Linked DNA regions of Lonchura striata. The protein of the gene in region 1 purifies or fractionates together with the protein of each later gene. This does not show direct contact. Links are inferred from orthologs where the notes say so. Each region holds a gene or a part of one and is shown on either strand. Other genes may lie near its edges.

Region 1 (7,401 bases):
GCAGGAACATGGAATGGTGACACCTTTGGGTGGGGGTCAGCTCCCACCTGGCCCCAGGGACCCTGGCTGGGACCACGGTGAAGGTGCCTTGGGCCGGGAAGGGACAGGGATTGTAGACAAGGACCAGGAAGGGGAAGGGAACAAGTGTGGGGATGGGGAGGGATGGGGATGGGAATGGGGGATGATCAGGGTCCAGGGAGGGACAGGGCTGGGGACAGGGAGTGTTGGGGACACAGAGACAGGGACTCACATTGTCAGAGCTGCCAGAGAGCAGCAGGTCCTTGACAGTGAGGGCACAGGATGCAGGTGGGGGGACCACAGGCGGGTCCTGGCTCTCCTCCAGGAAGAACCCGGGGTGCCACATGTCTGGGTGAGGGCAGAGCAGAGCTGTCAACAGTGCTGTGTCCCCACTGTCCCCAGTGTCCCCACTGCAGGACCCTCCTCCTGCCATGGCTCCAGAACCAGGGTGACTTGCTGCCCAACCCATGCCCCTGACTCTGTCTCCCCAAACTGTCCCTCTGGTCCTGCCCTAGTCCCCCCCCAACACCAACTGGTTCACCTGCCCAGTTCACCCCAGTTCCCAAGCTCTCCACACTCTCCCCATCTCCTCCCTAGCCCACCAGACCTCCCAGTTCTTTCCAGTTTCCCCCAGCCTCCTTAATTTCCTCACAGTCCCCCACCTCCCCCACTGCTCTCAGCTCCCCAGTGTCCCCAGTCCCTCCAGTGCCCCCAGCCCGGTCCTTTCCCAGTGTGGCTCACCCAGGTCGATGGAGACCTCAGGCTGCAGGACCCCAGACCCCGCCGGGAGGGGCTGGGCCTGGCAGGGGTCGGTGTAGGGGTACAGGACCTCTTGGGGACCCCCATCACAGCTCCGGGGGGGGCTGTCATGCTGGTCAGAGGGGGGGTCCTCGGACACCCCGCTGTCACTGGTGGCCGGGGACCAGCTGGGCGAGTCCGACACCGAGTCCCCGGAGCCCAGGACGGAGCTCAGGAAGTCCTTGCTGTCCGGGGCACGCTGTGGGGACACGGCACCGTCACCGGGAGCACCCATCCCCCGGGCTGTGACATCCCAGGGCTGTCACCCAGCAGGGCCGAGGCGGGGCGGGGTCCGGGCCTGGCTCACCCTGTCCTGGGGCCAGGCTCCCGGCGGCGAGCCCAGCTCCACCTCACGCAGGATCCCGTCCTGGAGGTCGAAGAGGAGATCCAGCAGGTCCAGGCTCTCGAGGCTGCCCGCGCTGGAGGCCATGGCTGTGGGGTGGCAGGGTCATTGTCCAGCCCAGGCCCCGTGGTACCCCCCAGAGCCACCCCCATGTGAGCTGCAGGGCCCCAGGGACACCTCGAGTCGTGGGGCAGCTGGGAGGAGGCAGGGGCATGTTGGGATTCACCTGGAAAAGCCCTACAGGTGGACAGGATGTGGGGACTCCAGGCATGGCAGTGCCCCCCGCTCCTTCCAGCAGCTGAAGTTCCCAAATCCTCCAGTTTTCCACCCAGAGCTGCCCAGCCAGGGGGTTCCCTCCTGGAGGTGACCGTGCTGGAAGGGCTGGTTAATCATTCTGGGTGGCAAGTGGAGGGCAGGGGACTGTGGCCACCAGTCACCCCAGGGAGGGGACTCAGTCCCTCACTGCTAGACCCTGGGCTCAGAGCCACTGGGCCAGCTGACCACTAGCCCAACTGGCCAATCAGCCAACTGACATCCCAGCTACCCAACCAGCTGATCCACTGACCAACCGGTTGACCAGTCAGTCAATGAACTGATCAAGAGACAGACCGAATGGTCAACCTGTTGGCCAAGTGACCAATGGATGGACTGCCCAAATGACCAGCCCACTGACCAATGCATTGACCAGTCAACTCTGCCTGCTTGACCAACCAACCAACCCACCAGCCACCCAACTGACTCAAGTGTCCTCCAAACCAGCTGGGGACAGCTGTCACTGCTTGACATTTGTCTGGCCAAGGTGGACACGGGGCTTTATTGCACCCTGTCCTTCACTCTGAGTCCTCTCAGAGAATCCTGATGGCCCCATGGGGTCTTGTTGAGTGGTGACAGCCGGGACATACCTGAGGGAGATGCCATAGATTGTCCTCTCAACCCTCTCTGAGCACAGGGGAGCACGGTAGACAACAAGCCCGGCCTTCACCCTCCTCCTCTTCCTCCTCCTTTGTGATTCCCTGGCCCGAATGGCAAAGTTTAAACTCCAACTGCACAGAAATAATATCCCAGATTGCAAAATGTCCCAGCCCTGATTGGGGCTGTCAGAGTGAGATGGCAGGGCCACCCCGGGGCTGGACCCGTAACTCATTAGCCAAATGTTGTTGTGCTCCTCTGCCAAGCGGGGCAGGAGGGGCCGGGGCTGCCGGGCGAAGTCCAGGTGCTATAATTGTCCATGAACCTTCACCCACTTTTGGGGACAGTTTCCCTTTTTTCAGACGTCTGGGGATTAATCACATTCGATGTGTGCAATATCCGGGGATGTTTGCTTGGGCTCTACCTCTTATGGCTTATCAAAAAAAAACTTGGTGCCCTCTGGCTCTCCCTGGAGAAAGACCATTGACAAGGGATGGAGGGACAGGACACAGGGAATGCCTTCCCATGGACAGAGGGCAGGGATGGATGGGATATTGGGAATGGAAATGGGGATAATAGGGAGGGCACAAGGAGGACCTGAGGGGGAACGGGAACAGGGATAACGGCACTGGGAATGGGAATAACAGCACTGGGGTTGGGAATAACAGCACTGGGATTGGGGGATCATGGCAGTGGGAATGGAGGATAACGGCACTGGGAATGGGGGATAACAGCACCCAGGGCATGGGAATAGGGATAACAGCACTGGGAATGCCCAAGGGATTGCTCCAAGGGAACTGGAGAAGGACTTTGGACAAGGGACAGGACACAGGGAATGGCTTCCCAGTGCCAGAGGCAGGGATAGATGGGATATTGGGCAGCAACTGTTCTCTGGCAGGCCCTGGCGCAGGGTGCCCAGAGCAGCTGTGGCTGCCCCTGGATCCCTGGCAGTGCCCAAGGCCAGCTTGGAGCAGCCTGGGACGGTGGAAGATGTCCCTGCCATGGCAGGGGTGGAATGGGATGTGTTTAAAATCCATCCCCACGCAGATTCCGCGGCTGTCTGGGGCGGCCTCGCTGTGCCGAGCCTTCATCCCCCTCGCACTGAGGGACACCAGCAGCACGCAGCTGCCGCCGCCCCGGCGGCCCCGGGCGCACGGAGGGCACGGCGCTGACGAAGGCTCCGTGCGGCCCAGGGGACAAGGCCACGGCCCCTTATCGGCCCCGCCACGGCCTCTGCCCGAGCAGGCGGCGGCTGCTCCCTGTTTATGGCCCCATCCACCCGTCCGGGACCGGGCAAAGGGCGCCGCCGCTGCCGCCAGCCGCGGCTGCTCGCGGCCCCTCATGAGGAGCCTCGGGGGTCCCTGCGCCTGGCATCGGGCATGGATGGGGTGAGCAGAGCAGGCGGGGCTGAGGGGCTGCTGCCCGCTGCTGGGGCGCTAATTAGCGATGATTTAATTAACGTTCGGTCCGCACAGCCGGAGCCCCCCGGGCGGGAACCTCCGCCACGGCCGCCGGCCGCTGCTCCCCTCAGAGAGATCTCGCGAGACTTCGCCAAGCCGCGCGCGTTTCTCCGCGCTCTTAGGCCCCGCCCCTTTTGCCGCCGCGGGGCCCCGCCCTCCCGGAGCCGCCGGTCCCGCCCCACGGACAGACCCCGGTCCCGCCCCATGGAGTTCCTGGTCCCACCCCACGGAGCTCCCGGTTCCGCCCCACGGAACCCACGGAGCTCCGGGTCCCGCCCCACAGAGCTCCCTCGGTCCCGCCCCACAGAACTCCCCGTCCCGCCCCACGGAGCCCCCGGTCCCGCCCCACGGAGCCCAAGGAGCTCCGGGTTCCGCCCGATGGTGCTCCGGTCCCGCCCCACAGAGCCCCCGGTCCCGCCCCACGGAGCCCCCGGTCCCGCCCCACGGAGCCCACGGAGCTCCGGGTTCCGCCCGATGGTGCTCCGGTCCCGCCCCACGGAGCCCCCGGTCCCGCCTCCACGGGCCCGACCGCGGCCCCGCGCCGGCCCCGCCCCCGGGCTCGGTCCCGCCCCGATTGGCCCGCGCGGGCCCCGGCCCCGCCCCCGGGCTCGGCCCCGCCCCGATTGGCCCGCGCGGGCCCCGCCCCGCCCCCGGGCTCGGCCCCGCCCCGATTGGCCCTCGCGGGCCCCGCCCCGCCCCCGGGCTCGGCCCCGCCCCGATTGGCCCGCGCGGGCCCCGGCCCCGCCCCCGGGCTCGGCCCCGCCCCGATTGGCCCGCGCGGGCCCCGCCCCGGCCCCGCCCCCGCGCGCCCCCGCGCCGGCCGCGCCCCCGCCCCGCAGGCGCGGCCCGGCCCGGCCATGCCGGCCAAGAGGAAGCCGGTGCTGCCCGCCCTCAACATCGCCCCCAGCGCCGCCGAGGGGCCCAGCCCCGACGGCTCCGCTGAGTGAGTCAGGCCCGGCCGGGACCGCCCCGGCGGCGGGGCTGCGCTTGGGGGGGACGCGGGGCCGGGGGGGGACACCGGGCCTGGGCTGACCGGGGAGGCCGGGACAGAGCGGGCACCGGGCCCGGGGGGTCGGGGCACGGCGGGTACGGGGCGCGGGGAAGGCCAGGGGAGGCCTGGAGGAGTCGGGACGGGTTTGGGGAGGCCTGGGAAGGTCTGAGGGGGGAGCAGGGAAGGTCCCGGGGGGCTGGGACGGGCCCGGGGGCTGGGTGGGCCCGATGTGGGGCAGGTTAGGGTCAGGGAGGCATTGCCGGGGAGGAGGTTGGGGCTTGGAGGGGCTGGGGTGGGGATGGGACGGGCAGGGGGAGGCTGCTCCGGCCCCCCCGGTTCGCAGGGGCAGCTCAAGCCTGGGGAGTGCCGGATCCAGGCCTGGAACCGCAGGGAAGCAGGCCTGGAGACCCAGGGTGGAGCTGGGGTAGGGACCCAGGGTCTGAGGGGCAGCAGTGGGGGCTCGGCAGGTGGGACATGTGGGGTGAGAGGTGCTGGAGGGGGTGGGTGGGGTGCTGAGGGAAGGGATGGGGTGAGACCCTCCCGACACGTCCCGGTGTGGGTGAGGAGGGACAAGGGGGTGGCAGCAACTGGGACAGAGCAGCTGGAGCTGGCACAGGCGGCGGGGGCTCGGCAGCTGGTGCTGGGGGAGCACAGACCCCCCTTTGTGCTCAGCATTTGGGGTGGGGGTGTAACGGAGCTGCTGGACCCCATGGAAGGCCCTTCTCGTGTTACACAGCCAAAGCCAAGTTTGGCTCCCCGGGACAGGGAGCAGCAACTGCTGCTGCCTCTTTAAGGGCCGAGGGATTTTTCCTGTTCCTTGGCTCTCCCAAAACACCTGACTGCTCCCCAGCTCCTCTCCAGAGGGGCTGTGTGTGTTGGGCAGGGCCTTCTCCAGGTCTCCCTGTCCAGGTGATCCCATTGTTGGGGGCTCAGGACATGTCAGGGGATGCTTTTCCATCATTTCCCTCCACTTTCCACCTATGCCCTCCTTTCCCTGGTGCTGACCGTCTCCCATCTCCTCCTCCCCTCTCCAGGGCTAACCTGGTGGACCTGCAGAAGAAGCTGGAGGAGCTGGAGCTGGATGAGCAGCAGAAGAAGCGCCTGGAAGCTTTCCTGACACAAAAAGCCAAAGTGGGGGAGCTGAAGGACGATGACTTCGAGAGGATCTCCGAGCTGGGCGCTGGCAATGGCGGGGTGGTCACCAAAGTGCAGCACAAACCCTCAGGGCTCATTATGGCACGGAAGGTAACGAGGGACTGGGAATGCTGGGGAGCACCTGGAGCTCTCCCTGCCTCGGGGAGGGCTGGGTTTGGTTGGATTCTCTCTGCATTTGCACCTTCACCACCTCACCATGGCCAGGAGCAGAGTCCTGGCTGCTCCCAGATGGAGCTCTCTCTTTTGGGAGAGGCTGCACTCCCAGGGACAGATCCCTGGGCTCTGGAAAACAGGAGTTTTATTTTTTTCCCTTTTCTGATGGATGGAGTGACTGGAATTGGATCTCCTGAGGATTGTAGGTCGTGGCTGAGGAGGTGGGATGGGTTTAGCACGCACGTCCCTCAGCCCCATTTAACACATCCCAAGGACATTCCAAGCAGGGACAGAGGTTCCTCTCAGACTTGCCTTCATTGGGAGCATCCACAGTGGTGCCACGGAGTAGAAAATCAGGAGCTGCTTCACTGCCTGCTGGGAGAGACTGTGCTTGGCAGGAGCAGCACAACCACTGCTCTGCCTCCTCCAGAGTCTCTCCTCCTTCCTGCTGCTGGGATCATGGAATCGTGGAGTGGTTTGGGTTGGAAGGGGCCTTACAGCTCACCCAGTTCCCTGGGCAGGGCCTCCTTTCACCAGCACAGGGTGTTTCCCTCCCCACTCTGCTCTGACCCACGTGCGGCCCCAAAAGCCGCCGCTCGTTCTTGTGCAGAACTTCACAGGGGCTTTTTCTTTTCTGTGGTTTCCTTGATCTCGGAGCACCTTCTTACAACACCTCCAGAGCTTGTGAAAATGCTCCTGGCTGCTGACTCAGAGGGGCTGAGATCAAACTCCTGACTCGTCTTTCCACCCGTGTCCGGTGCAATCCCGGTGCCTTCCATGGCTGAGGCAGCACAGAGCTCTCCCTCTGCCTTCAGTGTGGAATCCTTGGAATCCCCCACTGGATGGGCTCGGAGAGACCTCCAGTCCCACCCGGTGCCATGGCCTGGGACACCTTCCACTGTCCCAGGATCCATCCAACCTGGCTCAGGCACTTCCAGAGGCACCCACAGCTTCTCTGGGAATTCCATCCCAGGGCCTCACCACCCTCACAGGGTTTATCCCAAATATCCCATCTCTCCCTGCCCTTTGGCAGTGGGAAGCCATTCCCTGTGTCCTGGCACTTTATCCTCAATATGGGAAATGGGAGAATGGGAAAAATCCTGCTCCAAAGCAGCGCCTCCCTTGAAGGTCTCATTTCTTCCGAGCACTCAGGGCTGCTGCCCATCAGTTCTTTTCCTTCCCAGGAGTCACACCTCTCCTGTTTTCTCTCTCTTGGCAGCTGATCCATTTGGAAATCAAGCCAGCCATCAGGAACCAGATCATCCGGGAGCTGCAGGTGCTGCACGAGTGCAACTCCCCCTACATCGTGGGGTTTTACGGAGCCTTCTACAGCGACGGGGAGATCTCCATCTGCATGGAGCACATGGTGAGGCCCTGCCCCTGCCCTGCACCCTCCCCGTGCCCTCTCCCTGCCAGCTCAGTGCCCTGGGGCACTGGCAGCTCCCTGCTCGGGCCACTCTGCTCCTGGTGGGAGCCACACATTCCTGCTCAGGCCTCGGAATGAGGGAGACAGCGACTTTTGGGAAGAGGAAGCAGAGGTTTGGGGCTTGGCCAAACGGAAATGTTGCCAGCCC
Region 2 (7,502 bases), on another chromosome or scaffold:
GAGTAAACATGCTAGGACAAAACTGAAAGCAAAGACCAGCACTGGATAAAAAGAAAAACACTCAAGCATTTATTGGGCAGAACATATAAAACTTTAAAAACCCAAACCAGACCTTGTGGCATCAAAGAACCCAGTCTGCTAATAACCAAACTAACAGAACCTACTTTCCACTACAGGGAAACTCCCTGCCCTTCTAAGAAATGGCCTGCCTACCCTGAAACAGGGTCAGCTCATATAATACATTATGCTCAACACATCCTTTGCAAGCAATTCCCACAGCCCTTTCTTTCCTCTCCTTCCTGTATCTCAGTTTTCCCTGAGTGCTTATCTGTACCTGCCAAGGTCCAGTTTGAAATCCTTATCTACCATGTGCTTTATTTTGAGAACACCTTACAAGCAAGAGGAATGAGGAAGGAATTAAAGCATTGCGGTAAATGGGGAGGGAGCTAAGCATGAGCCCAAGTGCCCTTGGTTAGGTCGGTGTTCTTGACCTGGCAACTACATGTCACTACACAGTTTATCAGTTTTATTAATGGGACTAAGTTTTCACAGTTCTTTGTCATCTGAAGTCTTTGCACGGAAGAAAAGCCTTGTGAGAATTCAGCCCCAGCCTACATGAGCTCCCAGTCCAGGACTGACGTATAGTACAGATATAGTACAGTGCAGTACAGTGCTCACAGCACTACACTGCCAGTAGCCACTAATCATGACCCGCAGAGCCATTTGGTGACTCACAGAGGCCACCAGGGAAGCACAGCAGGCCCTGGAGATCTCTGAGCTCCCAGCTGCACTCTGGACTCTTCGCGAGCTGCCTGCGGAGTCCACCCACCAGTACCCAGCTCCGTGCAGGACCAGAGCTCATTGCTGTGTTGGCACGACCCCACAGGCAGAGGCACACAGCCACAGTGGCACTGCTGGCACAGGAATCAGGGCACAGGAACTGCACCTGGTACCTGAGACAGCTCTGGGCCCACCTCCTCCAGGGGCACCACAAGCAATGACAGCTTGGGGAAGCAAACACAGGCCCTGAGCTCCTGCAGTCTGGCTCTGTGACTGCAGCCTGGCACAGTCAAGCACAAGACTCGGGCCATGCCTGACATGTGTTTTGGTACAGGCAACCCAACAGCGCAAAGAACATGGAGTCTGTACCCATGCCCACAGCTCCATGTGCGGGCAGAGATCCAGAACTTGGTTGAACTCCCGGAGAAATCACATACTGGACTGTACATCAAAAAGACTTTCTTCTGAACATAAATCTTATGATCATCGGTGAATGTGGCACCCACTTGTTTAAACAGATAAATGCTGAAGAGGATTGTGTGCACACACTCAACAGCTATCGTTGCTTTAAGAAGAGCCTCAAGGTCATAAAATGCCTTTACACTTTGTGAATAAAGGTTTTCTTTTAGAACAGGTCCACAAGCAAAATAGTGATGATAATTTTCTGAAATTATGCTGATTGACATTGTTTGGGCATCGAAAAGGTCCTCAAGTAGGGCTGCCAAAAGGTTATACAAATATTGTGTCACAGAGAATAGTCTTTTGGATACTATTTGGAGGTGACAGGAAGAAGAACAGCACTATAAATTTGGGGGGCAAAAAAGAACCAACTAAAACAAAACACCCCACAAAACAAACTAACCAACCAACCAAAACCACAAAAAAGTCAGACGAAGAATAAAGGAAGAATTATAGATTTCCAGGAGGCTGTGCCAAAAGCTACCTACCACCTATTGTTTCATGGTTTTCTTCCCAACCTGCATTTCTCATGTGATGTATTTTTCAGCATGTAGGTTTATTACAGTTACAGTGTTGTTGATGATCCTTTCTTCCTAAAAAGCCTAACGCTCTATCCAGCTCCACTGTCTCCAGTACCACGTAGAGGAGCACTAGCATTTACATCAAACTTAAATCAAAGAAGAGGACAGGAGGGGATTGCTTGCTTAGGGCAAAACTACCTACACAGAAGGTAAAAGGAAACGTTATTTTAGTTTCTAAAGGTCAAATTAACTAAGGAAAAATACATCTACTTTCCTTTCCTATGTACTTATGTAGCTCTTCATACAGATCCAGCTGTTCTTTGAGAGCATCACAGCAGCGCATGTTTTGTGTTTGAAGAATTTCATATAATCTTTCTAAACAGCAGAATATCTCTCCAGCCCGGTCCATGATGCTGTTTGAGCTACAGCAACAGAGGGAGAAGCAGGATCAGATTAGATCAGTGAAACTGAGCCAGGGATAGAGAGACAGGCCCAGAGCGGAGGGCAGGAAGTATCAGGAGCAAACAGCAAGGACCTGAGGAGGCAAAGGGGAGTTTTCCCAGCACGCCAGGACAGCGGTGTGGGGACACACCTCCTGCCAGCGAGCCTCGAGTCACCTTTGCTCCGCGCCTCACACTGCGCATCCCGCTGCACAGGGACACGGGAGCCCGGCAAGGCCCCGGGGCGCGGCCGAACGGTGCCTCACGGAGCTCCCGCGCACCCGCCCGACAGCCCGGGGCACCGGAGGGGCTGCCCCGCACCTGTCCGCGCTCCGGCGGCACCGCCCGGGGAAGCCGCGGAGGAAGCCGCGGAGGAAGCCGCGGAGCGGAGCGCGGTGCCGACAGGGCGCGGATAGGTGCGGGGCAGCCCCCGGGCTGTCGGGCTCCCGTGTCCCTGTGCAGCGGGGAGCGCCCGGCCCGCTGACAGCTCCGCGGCGGAGCCAGGGCGCCGCTGTCCCCGCCACCAGCGCTCGGCCCGCGGGAGAAGGCGCGGCGCGGCCCCGGGGCCGAGAGGACAGGGCGCCAGGCAGCGGCAGGCCACGGCCGAGCGGGGCAGAGGCGGCAGCTGCGGCGCCCGCGGCTGCCAGCCCGCGCCGTACCTCCAGCGTGCGGATCTCCTGCTGCGTGAGGTCGTTGGACGCGGCACACTTAGTGCGGAGCCCGCGCAGGTTGGAGAGCGAGATGTCGATGAGGTCCTGTAGCAGCCCGCACTGCTGCAGCGTGCTCCGCACGGCCGGCAAGCCCCGCGGCCCCGCCGCCTCGCCGCCGCTCCGCTCCTTCCTCTCCAGCATGCCGGCGGCTCGCAGGGCAGCCGCTCTATCCATCCCTCGGCATCAGGGAGGCCGGGAGGCGAGGCGGCGGCGGGGGAGCGGCGGAGGGAGGGAGGAAAGGAGGGAGGGAGGCGGGCGGGAGGCGACCCGGCCCGGCTCGGCCCGCCCCTCTGCTCTCGCCGGGCAATCACCGCGCGGTACATGCGCGGCCGCCGGGCTCCGCAAGCGCGCCCGCTCCGCCCCCGCCACCGCCCTCCGCGCCCGCCGCCGCCCCGGGGCGCTCCCCTCAGCGCGTCCCTCATCCTTCAGCGCCCTCCTCACCCCTCAGCGCCCGCCTCACCCCTCAGCGTGTCCCTCAGCCCTCAGTGCCCGCCTCACCCCTCAGCGCCCGCCTCACCCCTCAGCGCCCACCTCACCCCTCAGCGTGTCCCTCAGCCCTCAGTGCCCGCCTCACCCCTCAGCGCCCGCCTCACCCCTCAGCGCCCACCTCACCCCTCAGCGTGTCCCTCAGCCCTCAGTGCCCGCCTCAGCCCTCAGTGCCCTCCTCACCCCTCAGCGCCCTCCTCACCCCTCAGTGCCCTCCTCACCCCTCAGCGTGTCCCTCAGCCCTCAGTGCCCGCCTCAGCCCTCAGTGCCCGCCTCACCCCTCAGTGCCCTCCTCACCCCTCAGCGTGTCCCTCAGCCCTCAGTGCCCGCCTCAGCCCTCATTGCCCTCCTCACCCCCCAGTGCCCACCTCACCCTTCAGCGTGTCCCTCACCCCTCAGTGCCCGCCTCAGCCCTCATTGCCCTCCTCACCACTCAGTGCCCGCCTCACCCTTCAGCGTGTCCCTCACCCCTCAGTGCCCGCCTCAGCCCTCAGTGCCCGCCTCACCCCTCAGTGCCCTCCTCACCCCTCAGCGTGTCCCTCAGCCCTCAGTGCCCGCCTCACCCCTCAGCGCCCTCCTCACCCCTCAGTGTGTCCCTCAGCCCTCAGTGCCCGCCTCACCCCTCAGCGCCCTCCTCACCCCTCAGCGCGTCCCTCAGCCCTCAGTGCCCGCCTCAGCCCTCAGCGTGTCCCTCAGCCCTCAGTGCCCGCCTCAGCCCTCATTTCCCTCATTTCCCTCTTCGCTGTCTCCCTGTCCCGTCTGCGCGCCCGCCTCAGCCCCTCGGGTTTGTCAGGGCTCGCAGCTCGCTCTGAGGAGCCCGCGGTCGGCTCCCTCCGAGACCCTGGAGGAAGCTGGGCCGGGGCAGGGGTGGCCTTCCCAGCCCAGGGGAGGTGTGAGCAGGCGTTAGGATAAACGTATTTTAGTGAATATAAGCTTTGAGTACGATAGGTGTGTGGGTTCATCCCTATCGTGAGTAGGAGGGAACTTCATTATTGCCTTGTGGAATCGCTGTGGTTTGAGTTTCCACAATGGAAACGTGAGGAAAATGTCCAGGTAACTGCATTACATTTGGTTTCATATCCAGCCTGTCTGATGGACTCGCACAGAGCTGAGCTGTCAGTGCAGGAACCACTCATCTCCCGATTATTAGAATTGGGACTGTTCATCTGACATGAGGGATCCAGAGAGGCAGTTAGGTTGTACCTTACTAACAGAAGAAGACAGTCTCCTTAATTTGCACTAAATTGATACCAGGTTTTAAAAGCTTAAATGACATCTGAGCCACATGTGGCAATACAGAAGGGAGATTCTTGGGGGGGAAAAAAAAGAAGAAACTATGAATTTAGGACATGAAGCAGTGGAGCAGGCCAAAGCAGCTAAACTGTTTTTTTCATAGTTAGATAAATACTGGTATCCACATCAGTTTGTATAGATTTGCATCAAGTAGTGTGGCATATGCTGTTTAGTAATTTTCTTAAGAATGTGGGTCAGGTTAAGTATTTGATTTTATTGTCATTATTCACATGCTGTAAATTTCATACGCAATAAGGGCTTTGCTGGATTAGGGTTTAATTAGTTTGCCATCTGATGAGTCCTGTGGTTTTGGGAAAGTAACTTTGCTTATTACCTCCATATTTCTGACCTTGTGAAAAAGCCTTTATCTACCCTGTCTGCGCTCAGGAGCACTGGAAGTTTAGCACTGGAAATTTTAGTTTCTAGGACTCTGAGGGATTTAAATCCTCAAGTACAGGTGACTGTGGAACTAGGGAACATTATTAACAGGACATTGTTCTTGTAGACATTCTCCATGTACCCACCTGAGAATATCCATTTGCTTATAGACAAGAGGCCGAGCGCGTTGCATGAGAAAGCAATGGGAATGAGAAAGCATAGGAAACCTGTGGGCCTGCATCACAGGATACTTGGCATTCCCTGCAGTGTTTGTGCGCTGGGAGTGCCGCCCTCATTACCCGGCTGCCGTCCGTGGGCAGCATTCCAGCCCCAGCACACAGGGCTGCCCTTGGGCCTGCGGGAAAAATGTGCTGACTAAACACTGCCTGGGCGTCCATCCCTGCTCATCATCCCTGCTGCTGCCTCCAAGGCTGTGGGGCTGGCGCCTTCCCAGAGCTCAGGCTGCTCTTCCACCACAAGCTTTGTCTGCAGTCCTGGAAGTTTAAGTTGTCTGAAACCACAGCATTCTGTCTATAAGGAGTTGGGGTAAAAACACTGCTTATCAGAGTTTGAAAAGAGAAATACCATGGCTGGGCCATGCTAGAAGGACCATGTGAGCACACTGAATGACCTCTTTTCCCAGAGATTTCAGGAAGTGACATATGTTGTACTTTATACATTAATTGATGCACCTGTTAGGATTTTTCTTTTAATGTACAGTTTATGTAGGGTGGACATAAGAACTGCATTCTCTAGAGTAAAACAATTGTTTGTTTGTTTTTTTTTTTAATTGAGTGAACCGTACCCACATTGTCAACTTCATTGTATAGTGGCCTTTTTTTGCCACTGTGTCAAAAACCAATCGTTCTGAAAACAATAAAATGTGGAATGCCTGAACTGGATCAGAGAAAACTGCTGTGTCCTTGGTTAAGCCACTGACCTAAGGATGGAGAGGATTTCTCTTCCCCACTGCCCCCATCTCTCTTGCCTACACAGATCAGGTTCTAGCTACATGAATAAAGCCCAAACCTTGCTAAGCACCCCTGGAAGTCCTGGACCACAGCAATGGTCTCGGACTCAGTAAAATAAGCTCACTGAGGAAAAATACCTTTTTTTATGTTCTTGGAGAAAGAAAAGCACTGATGCATTTCACATGCTGCCTGTATGAAAAGCCTCTATTACCTTTTTAGCTAGCTTGCCCCAATTTCATTCAGCTATCACAACACTGAATTTAGATGATGAGACTGAATTGCTCTATTTGATGTGTTTAACACATAATAGAGACCTGTTTTAAGAAAATGTAGTGTTGGGATTTGAAGAGCTGAAATGTTAGGTATTTCAGATGAAAGAGGCCTTTATCGTTGATGATTTTCCCCTCAAAGGCTTCCTCCTACACAGCCATAGGAGTATTCCTCTCCCCGGCACAGCACAGGAATACACAGTAGCTCTGGCATGCTTCTCTGCTGGGAAGCTGAGAAACTTAAGTCCTATTTTTAGACATGCTGCTGGATATTCTTGTTAGGATATACAGAGAAAGTGAGGATGGTGAGATGGTGTTCCCGGAACAAATCCTCACCATTCCCTAGTTTAGATATCTCCACTGCTTGCAACTGAGCCAGACCAGTTCACACAAGTATAAGACATGACCTTCACCTTTAAAAAATATTTTTGTCTAAGTCCACTTCTTCCATGGATTTTTTCCTGCTCAGCTGTCTGTGTCAAATGGCGTTTGACTAAATGCAAGGGATGGACCAGCAAATCCACAGATTTGGCAGTGGTGGATCCCAGTGAGTTAGGGATAGATAAAGGAAACTGAACTGTGTGCTGACAACAATGGAGGAAAATATGTGAAAATTAAACACTGCTCCTTTTCTTAAAAATAATTTTCGTGGGTGGGGAAAACATTTGAGTTTGGGCAATCTTGAGGGAATTTCTGCCCCACAAGTGGAAGGCACAAGAAACTGCTATGTAGCTTCACTCAGTGTTTTCTGTGTACAGGTGTCATGGTTTAACCCCAGCTGGCAACTAAGCACCACCAACCCCCTGCTCACTTCCCCTTCAACAGAAAGAAACTTTGAGATGGGACTGCGAGGAGGAGGCCTGGACTGATGTGTTCACCTTACATTCTGGAGTCATGTGAGTAAACAAGCATTGCAGCTGTTACAGCAACCCAAAACTTTCTAGCTTTAAGAACATAAGAATTTTAGTTGTCTATAAAACAAATAAAACCCCCAACATTTATTTTTAGAGTAATCTCATGGGTTTTGCAGTCTTTCTTTAGCATTAGCTGTGTTGCAATAGTGCTGCCTTTTTGTCTGTTATTTATCACCAGTAAAATAAACTGTTTGGGGCAGGAAGAGTCTTTTACTCTCTGCTCGCACAGCAACGCCTGTATCTCGGTGAGAAGCCTCTGAGTGCTGCTGTAATATAAATAC

Evidence for each region. Proteins that work in one complex are often made in the same cells at the same time.
Region 2: the proteins of MAP2K2 (region 1) and KSR1 purify together in Homo sapiens (affinity purification with mass spectrometry; 4 studies listed by BioGRID and IntAct, with this or other methods). This does not show direct contact. The link is inferred for Lonchura striata from reciprocal best matches to the Homo sapiens genes MAP2K2 and KSR1.

The regions. Positions count from the first base shown.
Region 1 is NC_134630.1:6,760,740-6,768,140, forward strand, and holds the start of MAP2K2 (dual specificity mitogen-activated protein kinase kinase 2), read left to right. Parts: upstream 1-4,354; 5' UTR 4,355-4,385; coding exon 4,386-4,471; intron 4,472-5,553; coding exon 5,554-5,764; intron 5,765-7,046; coding exon 7,047-7,193; intron 7,194-7,401. Other genes in the region: CREB3L3 (cyclic AMP-responsive element-binding protein 3-like protein 3), read right to left, coding at 251-366, 760-1,015, 1,124-1,248, 2,062-2,077. UniProt on the Homo sapiens protein: Catalyzes the concomitant phosphorylation of a threonine and a tyrosine residue in a Thr-Glu-Tyr sequence located in MAP kinases. Activates the ERK1 and ERK2 MAP kinases.
Region 2 is NC_134622.1:11,097,212-11,104,713, reverse strand, and holds the start of KSR1 (kinase suppressor of Ras 1), read right to left. Parts: upstream 3,100-7,502; 5' UTR 3,085-3,099; coding exon 2,860-3,084; intron 1-2,859.